Arabidopsis thaliana: one gene and its partner. The protein of the gene in region 1 binds, or shares a complex with, the protein of each later gene. Each region holds a gene or a part of one and is shown in the gene's direction. Other genes may lie near its edges. The genes, in order: TRXF2 and AT2G04700.

The links.
Region 2: the proteins of TRXF2 (region 1) and AT2G04700 are in contact, whole or in part, in a crystal structure (PDB 7C2B), measured with the Arabidopsis thaliana proteins. Residues at the interface, in NP_197144.1 of Arabidopsis thaliana: Thr106 (codon at 2,017), Gln107 (codon at 2,020), Trp108 (codon at 2,023), Cys109 (codon at 2,735), Gly110 (codon at 2,738), Pro111 (codon at 2,741), Lys113 (codon at 2,747), Val114 (codon at 2,750), Cys136 (codon at 2,816), Gln138 (codon at 2,822), Lys141 (codon at 2,831), Ala144 (codon at 2,918), Lys145 (codon at 2,921), Ile149 (codon at 2,933), Arg150 (codon at 2,936), Val151 (codon at 2,939), Val152 (codon at 2,942); in NP_001323778.1 of Arabidopsis thaliana: Thr34, Glu35, Pro36, Val65, Val68, Val69, Lys71, Gly72, Glu75, Pro86, Cys87, Arg88, His89, Tyr90, Asp91, Lys93, His116, Cys117, Met118.

The regions. Positions count from the first base shown.
Region 1 is NC_003076.8:5,362,605-5,366,950, reverse strand, and holds TRXF2 (thioredoxin F2), read left to right. Parts: upstream 1-1,559; 5' UTR 1,560-1,701; coding exon 1,702-2,024; intron 2,025-2,733; coding exon 2,734-2,833; intron 2,834-2,911; coding exon 2,912-3,046; 3' UTR 3,047-3,531; downstream 3,532-4,346. Other genes in the region: AT5G16410 (HXXXD-type acyl-transferase family protein), read left to right, coding at 1-59, 316-1,266; CAC1 (chloroplastic acetylcoenzyme A carboxylase 1), read left to right, coding at 3,931-4,083.
Region 2 is NC_003071.7:1,644,983-1,649,560, forward strand, and holds AT2G04700 (ferredoxin thioredoxin reductase catalytic beta chain family protein), read left to right. Parts: upstream 1-1,824; 5' UTR 1,825-1,978; coding exon 1,979-2,078; intron 2,079-2,166; coding exon 2,167-2,279; intron 2,280-2,447; coding exon 2,448-2,497; intron 2,498-2,570; coding exon 2,571-2,642; intron 2,643-3,109; coding exon 3,110-3,170; intron 3,171-3,318; coding exon 3,319-3,363; 3' UTR 3,364-4,055; downstream 4,056-4,578. Other genes in the region: AT2G04690 (Pyridoxamine 5'-phosphate oxidase family protein), read left to right, coding at 373-408, 491-849, 932-1,053. UniProt on the Arabidopsis thaliana protein: Catalytic subunit of the ferredoxin-thioredoxin reductase (FTR), which catalyzes the two-electron reduction of thioredoxins by the electrons provided by reduced ferredoxin.

The DNA.
Region 1 (4,346 bases):
CTTATCAAAGTATTGCCAAGTTTGTTCCCATGAAAAAGCATGGAGTCTTTGCTATTCAGGTAATAGTGTGTAGTGACGAAAGCTGGCTCCACTGATATGTCTCAATCTGATTAATATATATATATTGGAATAAGTTTTGGGATTCTAGTTCTGTATAAAATACAAAATTGAAGTGTCTATCTATTCGTTGCATTTCACACCTTCAAAGATTACCTATATAGCCATATACTTTTACTTATTCAGCTCTATATAAATCAACAACATAACTCTGTTTTTTTTTTCGCTCGTTGTTATTGTTTTGAATTGTCTGAATAGGTAACTGAACTGAAATGTGGGAGCGTAGTAGTGGGATGCACATTTGATCACCGTATAGCAGATGCTTATTCCATGAACATGTTCCTCGTCTCGTGGGCCGAGATATCTCGATCCGATATACCGATTTCGTATGTACCTTTGCTCAAAAGATCCCTCTTAAAGCCACGACGACCCTTGATCATCGACTCTTCAATAGACAAACTGTACATGCCTATAACGTCCTTGACCGTTCCACAAGAAATCACTAATCAAGATAATATCCTAACAAGCCGTATCTATTACATCAAAGCAGATGTCTTAGAAAAGTTTCAAACTCTGGCTACTAATGGTAAGAGGACCAAACTCGAGTCTTTCAGTGCGTTTCTATGGAAACTCTTGGCTAAACACGCTGCAACAGAGTCGGTACTCCCGACTAAAACCTCGAAACTTGGCATCGTTGTTGATGGAAGGAAGAAACTTATGGAGCAAGAGAACTGCAATTACTTTGGGAACGTCCTCTCAGTTCCATTTGGAGAGCGGAGAATCGATGACTTGATCCACAAGCCATTGTCTTGGGTGACAGACGAGGTTCACAAGTTACTGGAGAGTACAATGACCAAAGACCATTTCTTGAACTTGATCGATTGGGTTGAGACTAGCCGTCCGATACCAGTTATATCAAGGATCTACAGTACAGGATCCAACGATGGACCCGCTTTCGTTGTTTCGTCTGGAAAGAGTTTTCCAGTGGCCCGGATTGATTTCGGGTGGGGCTCGCCTGTTTTTGGATCGTACCATCTCCCACCCGGGAGCAGAGCTGGTTACGTAATGACAATGCCGAGTCCGGTGGAAAACGGTGGCTCCGGAGATTGGACGGTTTACTTGCATCTTACGAAAGGACAGTTGAGGTTTATTGAACAAGAGGCTTCTCATGTGTTTAATCCTGTTGACAACGACTATCTCAAGATTTAAAGCATTATCAAACTTTGGTTATATTATTATGCAAATAAAGGCTTATATAAATTTGGCTTTTATAGTTGTAAATTTCAGTTTAAGATCAATATTTTGATTTAAGTTTAAACCAAAAGAAAATGAGTGTGCAGATTGCTAATGGTAATCGACTAATCGTCAATTCTTGGCCTTACATTGTGGGGGTATGATCGTCATTTTACACTCCGATAATTCTGAACCTCGCGTCCATCGAACCCGAAAATACGTAAACATCCCCAAATGTCTTCTTTCTTCGTTATCCATTTGAGGGTATTATTGACCTCACGGTAAGAAAATCTACAATATTTCACGGATAACGAAAACAACACTCGAATTAAAATTTGGAAATCAAAAGTCTCCCAGGTTCCTTTGAAAGATCACACTACTGTTTTTTGGACTCGAGCTTCTTCTTCAACAATGCCTCTCTCTCTCCGACTTGCTCCATCTCCGACGTCTTTCCGTTATTCTCCGATTACATCTACCGGCGCCGGAGGATTTTCCCCCGTGAAGCAGCACTGCCGGATCCCGAATTCGGGCGTCGCGACGAAAATTGGATTCTGTTCTGGTGGTGGTGGTGTTTTAGATTCCGGTAGAAGGATTGGTTCCTGTGTGGTGAGGTGTAGCTTAGAAACAGTGAATGTCACTGTTGGCCAGGTGACGGAGGTTGATAAGGACACGTTCTGGCCAATTGTTAAAGCCGCCGGTGATAAGATTGTTGTCCTCGACATGTACACTCAGTGGTAACGTTTCGATCACTTCTTCTTCTTCTTGGTGCGAATTTTGGAATTACTTGATTGCAATCTCTTGTTTGGAACTACTTGATTCCGTCGCATGTTCAGAGAATTGGAAAATTCATGTACTTAGATTTTTGATAGGTTTTGGATAAGTCGTTGGAAATTAGGGTTGATTAGGGATTTCTCAGTTGATATAACATTGCTAAGTTGTTTACCAGAGAACTTTGCTTTAGCAGATCCTCATGTCTTTAATTCTCAATTGCCAATTCTTGCTACAACATAATCATATCATGGTCTCTAACCATATCCTTTGCTTCTCTTGGCCTATTTTTAGCTCTATGAACCTCACATTGTGTAGCTTCCATAGTTTAGGGTTAGTATATGATCACCTTGTTACTTTCAATTGTATTCAAAAGTTACAGCATTGTAAGTATCATATATAATCTTCACAGTATCAGGCTGCTGCTTCTCTGTACACATTCTTTTGAATTCATTTTTTGGTTAGGAATGATATATACAAAAGGATATGAAGTTATGAATAGTGAGACTTTCAGGAGAATTAGAGCATGTACATTTAATAAATAAGCATAAAAGGTGTTCCAATTTCCATCATCATGAATGCTTGAGATGAGTTTACTATTAAATGTTCTGTTTTGGTGTTGAGAAAAATCAGTTTGCCTCTCTTTTTTTTCAATCCTCGTTTGGCTCTTTGCAGGTGTGGTCCTTGCAAAGTGATTGCTCCCAAATACAAAGAGCTATCGGAGAAGTACCAGGACATGGTGTTTCTTAAGCTTGATTGTAACCAAGACAACAAGGTTTGTTCTTCTTTTTCCGCTGAATGTGTCTTTATATTTATGTTACTTATTTCATAACTCAAAAACTCTTGCTTGCAGCCATTGGCGAAAGAGCTAGGAATTAGAGTGGTTCCAACTTTTAAAATCTTGAAAGACAACAAGGTAGTAAAGGAAGTGACCGGGGCAAAATATGAAGACTTACTTGCAGCCATTGAAGCAGCAAGGTCAGGCTGAGTCTCTCTCTATATCACTCATTATGTAAAGTATTAGGATCATTCTCCATCCATGTAATTCGTTTGGTTCTATGTATGTAACTCTTTGCTGTTCCCTTAACCGGAATCGGTTGTTCACTATCTATGTATAAATGCTGGAAAGTTATGGAATGATGAGCTGAATGTGTATCTGTATGCATCACAAGTTCATAACCAAGTAAATATGCATGTAAACTATAAGAAATTTAAAAATTAAGATTGATTTTAATTTTGGGGGACCCGATTGTTGAAATAGATGCATTTTGTTTATAGTTTTGGCTTACATGTACGATGCTTGTGCTTTGTTTTCAATGGATGTTCCAACTTCCAGCTAGATTGTTAACAAGTCATATCTTCATTTAGTTGTTCACCAAATCCAGTCTCGCCTAATTTTAAAAATTTAATACATTTGGCGTATGTATATTAGGCTAATGTATTTGGATCTATTCATGTATTTTTTTATAAAAATTGGAGACACCGACAGCATTTTCATCTTTAGATGCAGTCGGATTTTTTTCTTGCTGAAAAAATGTGTTTCCTCTAAAGAGTTTAGAGAAATTGTAATTTCCTAAACAGGATTTTAACCCTAACATTTTTTATATTTATTTAAAAGTAATAATTCATTTAAATTCTTCAAGGTAAAAAATACGATAGTCCACAAGGATTGGGAGTAATCGCGAATACAGAACAACAGATCAGAGTATGACACGTGGCGAAATCTGAAAGAGAGTTATAATCAAAGAGAAACGCGTTCCGAATCCGACATCTTCTCTCTCTCTTTCTGAAGTGAACTGTTGTTGTTGTGCTCTTTGGTTTCATCGAGAGAGAACCTAAACCCGATCTGAACCAATAACAATAAGAAGACGAATGGCGTCTTCGTCGTTCTCAGTCACATCTCCAGCTGCTGCTGCTTCCGTCTATGCAGTCACTCAAACCTCCTCGCACTTCCCAATCCAAAACCGCTCTCGCAGAGTTTCTTTCCGTCTCTCTGCTAAGCCCAAGCTTCGCTTTCTCTCCAAGGTACACGATTCCTTCCTCGATTAAGATAAGATCATTTATCCTGCAATGTAGTTTTTAGCTTTTCGAAATATGGATAATTTCAATTTACTCAAGTTTTGTTTGGCTAATCTTCGTCGATTAGTTTTTATCTGCATTTTACGATTTGATTCTCTCTGTATATATATTTGGCGTCAATTAGAATTCAGAGAATACTGTTTTTCCGGAGAAGAATGATAAAATCCGATTTCCAGATTTATGGGTACAATCGTGATTTGGGGTTTTTT
Region 2 (4,578 bases), on another chromosome or scaffold:
TTTAGCAGATTGAATCCTATTGTTGATAAACTTTGTTGGGTTCTTGAGACTTGCTATGGATTTGCTTCATCAAGCTTTAATACTATTGAAATTGATATTGACTTTCAAGTACTGTTGGGTTCCTGAGATTTGGTAGTTCGTCAAGTTTGATTCTTTTGAAATTGAAAGGTTTTTAGGATTTCAGATTTGACACTAGGAGTAACAAATGGTTCCTCTATACTCTGTAGTTACCACTGGTCACTCTATACACTATAGTTACCTGAGATCTTTATTAGTGAAAGAGATTGTTGCATTGTTGTTATCAGCAAGGTAATGTGAGTGTAACAGTTGTGTATTACTAATTCTTTTTGCGGTGTTGTATTCCTCTTCCAGCACACTATCCGTTGATCATAAAGGCGCTCCCTTCGGGTAATCTTGTTTTCCATGAATCATATCACAATGTGTTTTCTTGCTTTGACATTATTGAGATCTCAATGGTCTCTATTTGCAGGAATGTTGTATCGTTTAGTGATGGTTTACCCGAGAAAGGTAACGGTATACCTTACTTTTACTTAACAACACTTGATCCAACTGCAAGAAACGCACTTAAAGACCAGAGAGCTTCACTTGCAATTAGTGAATCTCCTCTTGGAACTTGTACAAGAGATCCAATGAATCCTACTTGCTCTAAACTAACCCTTACCGGGAAGGTAAAAGAGTTTTTTCTTATTGACACGACAAAGAAACTTACTGTAAAATGCTTTGGTCTTTATCTTATTATAATGTTTCAGTTGCTGATATTGGAAGGAGGATCTGAGGAAGCAGAAGTAGCCAAAAAGGCTTTATTCACAAAGCATCCAGAGATGATGGGTGATTAATTGTTTCACTCATCTCTTAAGATACAGATTCATGATAGATTTGTATTATCATGTGATGGTTTTATCATTTGCAGATTGGCCTAAGGATCATGATTTCCGCTTCTTTAAACTCGAGATCATCGATATATTTCTCATCAATTGGTATGGTGGAGCTAAACCTATCACTGTAGATGAATACCTTCATGCCAAGTCGTAAGTACATTGCGTGAACCCTTTTAAAAACATCGGTAATCTCTGAGAAACCGAACTATGAAAATTTTCGAATCGTATGCCTTTTTCGCATTTGATCTCTTAGTTCTTTTGAACTGTTTTCAGGATCAAACTCGCTTCCTTTTTATAATAACTCACAAGAATCAAGCAAATGGTGAAGCAAGAAAATGTATATTGGATGAACAATAAAAAGTGTGTAACTGTTTCTGTAAATAACTCTTTGTTTTGGACCATAATAGATATTAAAATCTCTTGTAAATTACCTCAAAGCAATTTCAAAGGTATCCAAAATACTTTTCAATTTATGCAATTGAACCAAAACAAATTCTTCCACGTGAACCGAAACGAAAATCGGTTTTGATTTCTCATTTAAACCGAATAAACCAATTTTTTTTATTCATTAGTCTAAAATTTAAATTCTATTATCTAAACATAATTGAACCGGAACTTTCATAAGAGAATTGAATCCAATACACTAAAACAAAATAAAACTAGAAATTTATGTAATTGAACCACGTTGGAGTCAAATTAAAACCAAATCAGAATTCTATTGCAATTGAACCAAACTAATTTCACCAACTCGAACCGAAACCAAAACTCGATTTTTTCATTCATAATTCTACTCAAATTCTTTATCTAAACCGAATTGAACCGAAAGTTTTGAAGCAAAGTTTGAACCGATTCGATGGTCGAATTCCGGTTATTTCCGGTTTGAGGATAAGCTTTATCATTCTCTGAGAGTCTCTCTCTCTGTGAGTGGCGAGCATTGGTTTCTGGAAAATGAACACAAAAAAATATCTGAAAATTTCGATCTAAAAAGCATAAACGAATCCAAATTTCAAGAGGAGAAGAAAAATCTTCAAGTCCACGACGAAACTTTTCATCGATCTTCAAATTCCAGAAAAAACTCGATGAATCTTCAAGCTGTTTCTTGTAGCTTCGGATTCCTTTCGAGTCCACTTGGTGTCACTCCCAGAACTTCGTTTCGTCGCTTCGTAATCCGAGCGAAAAGTAAACAATTTGAATCCCTAGATCTTTGTTTAAAGTGATTGTGATTTCGGTTTTGGATTCATCTTGAATCTTCTTCTTGTTTTTGCAGCGGAACCGTCGGAGAAATCAGTAGAGATTATGAGGAAATTCTCCGAGCAATATGCTCGTCGCTCTGGGACTTACTTCTGTGTTGATAAAGGAGTTACTTCAGTCGTTATTAAGGTACTCTTGATTTCAATCGGAGCTTATTGAAATTTCAGATGAACTTGTGTTGATATGAAGATTGTGATCAACTGCTTAACTATTGAAGTGGCTTGTGTCTTTCTACTTGTAGATTATGAGTTAGTGAATGTAAACATCTTGAGGTTTAATGCTTAACTTTGTGAGCAGGGTTTGGCTGAGCATAAAGATTCATATGGTGCACCGCTTTGCCCTTGCAGGTGATTTGCTTCTTCCGAGCAATCTTGAACTATCTATGTATTCGTAAAGTTTGATCCTTTGTTGTTGATGTAGACACTATGATGATAAAGCTGCTGAGGTTGGACAAGGCTTTTGGAATTGTCCGTGTGTTCCAATGAGAGAGAGGTAAGAACTATCTTCTTCATGTGGTTGCATAATAAGCATTGGGGTTGCTATATAGTTAGAACTAAGAATATAAAGTCCTTTGGGAAAAGCTGGTTATATAGATCGTCTCCAACGTCCTTGTTGTTATTAGTTGGATAGTATTCAGCAGCATACGTATGTTGTAGTTTCCATAGAGGTAGCCGATGCTCCGTATTGGTTGTATCAAGATTGATGCAGAGAATGTATTCACATATTGCTAGGCAAGTGGAAATTGAATTAACCATAGTTAGAAAACTCCTGTAAAACTCTTGGCCTATGTGGCTCTTTTGATCAAATTCTGATACACCGCAAATTTAAGATCCTTTGTGTTTTAATAGGACTTAGTTTAGGTAGTAGAGTTCGATCAATTTTGCATCTGTTGACGGTTTATTCTGATAATACTTGCTTGTTTACATCTTGTACTAAAGTATTTATCACTTGTTCATCAGGAAGGAGTGCCATTGTATGCTTTTCTTAACTCCTGATAATGATTTCGCTGGAAAAGATCAGGTAAATCTCAAATCAAAGCTTGAAGGTTCTGTCTCCATTTTAAGGATACCATTAATGGTTCGAAGCAACTTAGTAGTATTGGGAATTTGGGAACCTATAGTATATAGTATATGGATTTCTAATTCTTTCTCTTGTTTGAATCTTGCAGACGATTACATCGGATGAAATAAAAGAAACTACAGCTAACATGTGAGAGAGCTGGTTCTTCCATGTTCATCACCTCTGTTCTTTAGGTAAAAAAAAAGAGAGATATGTCTCGCCCCAAATGCAGTCTTGTACATTGATACCCCGAGCATCTTCTTCGTTCTTCTGTACAACTCTTTCACTCTTAAGATAATATTCTTTAGTATGATCTTTTGTTTGCAAAACGATTACAAGCTATATAAAAGGATCCAACTTTACACGAAATCTTCAATAAGTAAGCTTAAAAGATCTAAAGGTTTCTCTTTCACATCTCTCAAAGCCAAAGCTTCCATAACAGTATCAATCCACTTAAATCAGTAGTTTTCTCATAACGTATTTCATTTGCTTCTTCTTCTTCTTCGGATCTCAATCTCCAAGTTTTATGTTTTTTCAAGCAGTGATATGGTCTTTACAGTAACCATTCTTTGCAACCATTCTCTCGTGATGTTCAATGTTCTATGTCGCATTCGCATGTGCCAAGTATGAACGGCCTCTATACTTGCAAGTTGTGGATTTTGGGCAAGCCATGCGTGGATGTCAAAGTATTCTTCACATGAAGAGTCGATTATTGTTGTATTCCTCTCTAGTTATGCTGATCAGAAGAAACTTGGTTGTACAATAGTGCTTCGCTATTTATCTTCAATTTGAATGAATAAATTTCCATCATAACTATCGGTTTTGGGCTTTTAAGTTCAATTTAAGCCTTTTAGGGTTTGTAATTTTGTTGTTCTGTTGTCATTGTCAAGGATGTCTTAAATTGACGGAAGAAGTCTGGAAAGAGTTGTTTTTCGAAGGTTAACATTACATTAATTTTGGTCAAGGGATACGGTAGAGAAGATCCTCTCTAGGGTTCCGATGAAATCTCTAAGAGCAGTTTGATTTACATGCAAAAAGTGGAACACTTTATTCAAAGATTTGAGCTTTGTAAAGAAGCACGTTGGTCATGCAAAAGTACAGCAAAGAAAAAAGGAGTTTATCGTAATCATGATGATTGATTTTAGGGTTTATTTGACGCACATCAATCTAAACACCAACGTTGAATCGTGTATAAAGCATGAAGCTAAATTTACTAACCTAGACGATCAGATGAAGTAGATGTAGCTTAAGTCTTTCACTACGATGGTTTGTTGTTAAACATCACGAAAGACAATGCTAAGCTAGTGGTTTGGAACCCGTATTATGGACAAAACCGGTGGATCGAGGTCGAGCCTAGTTTTCACCGATC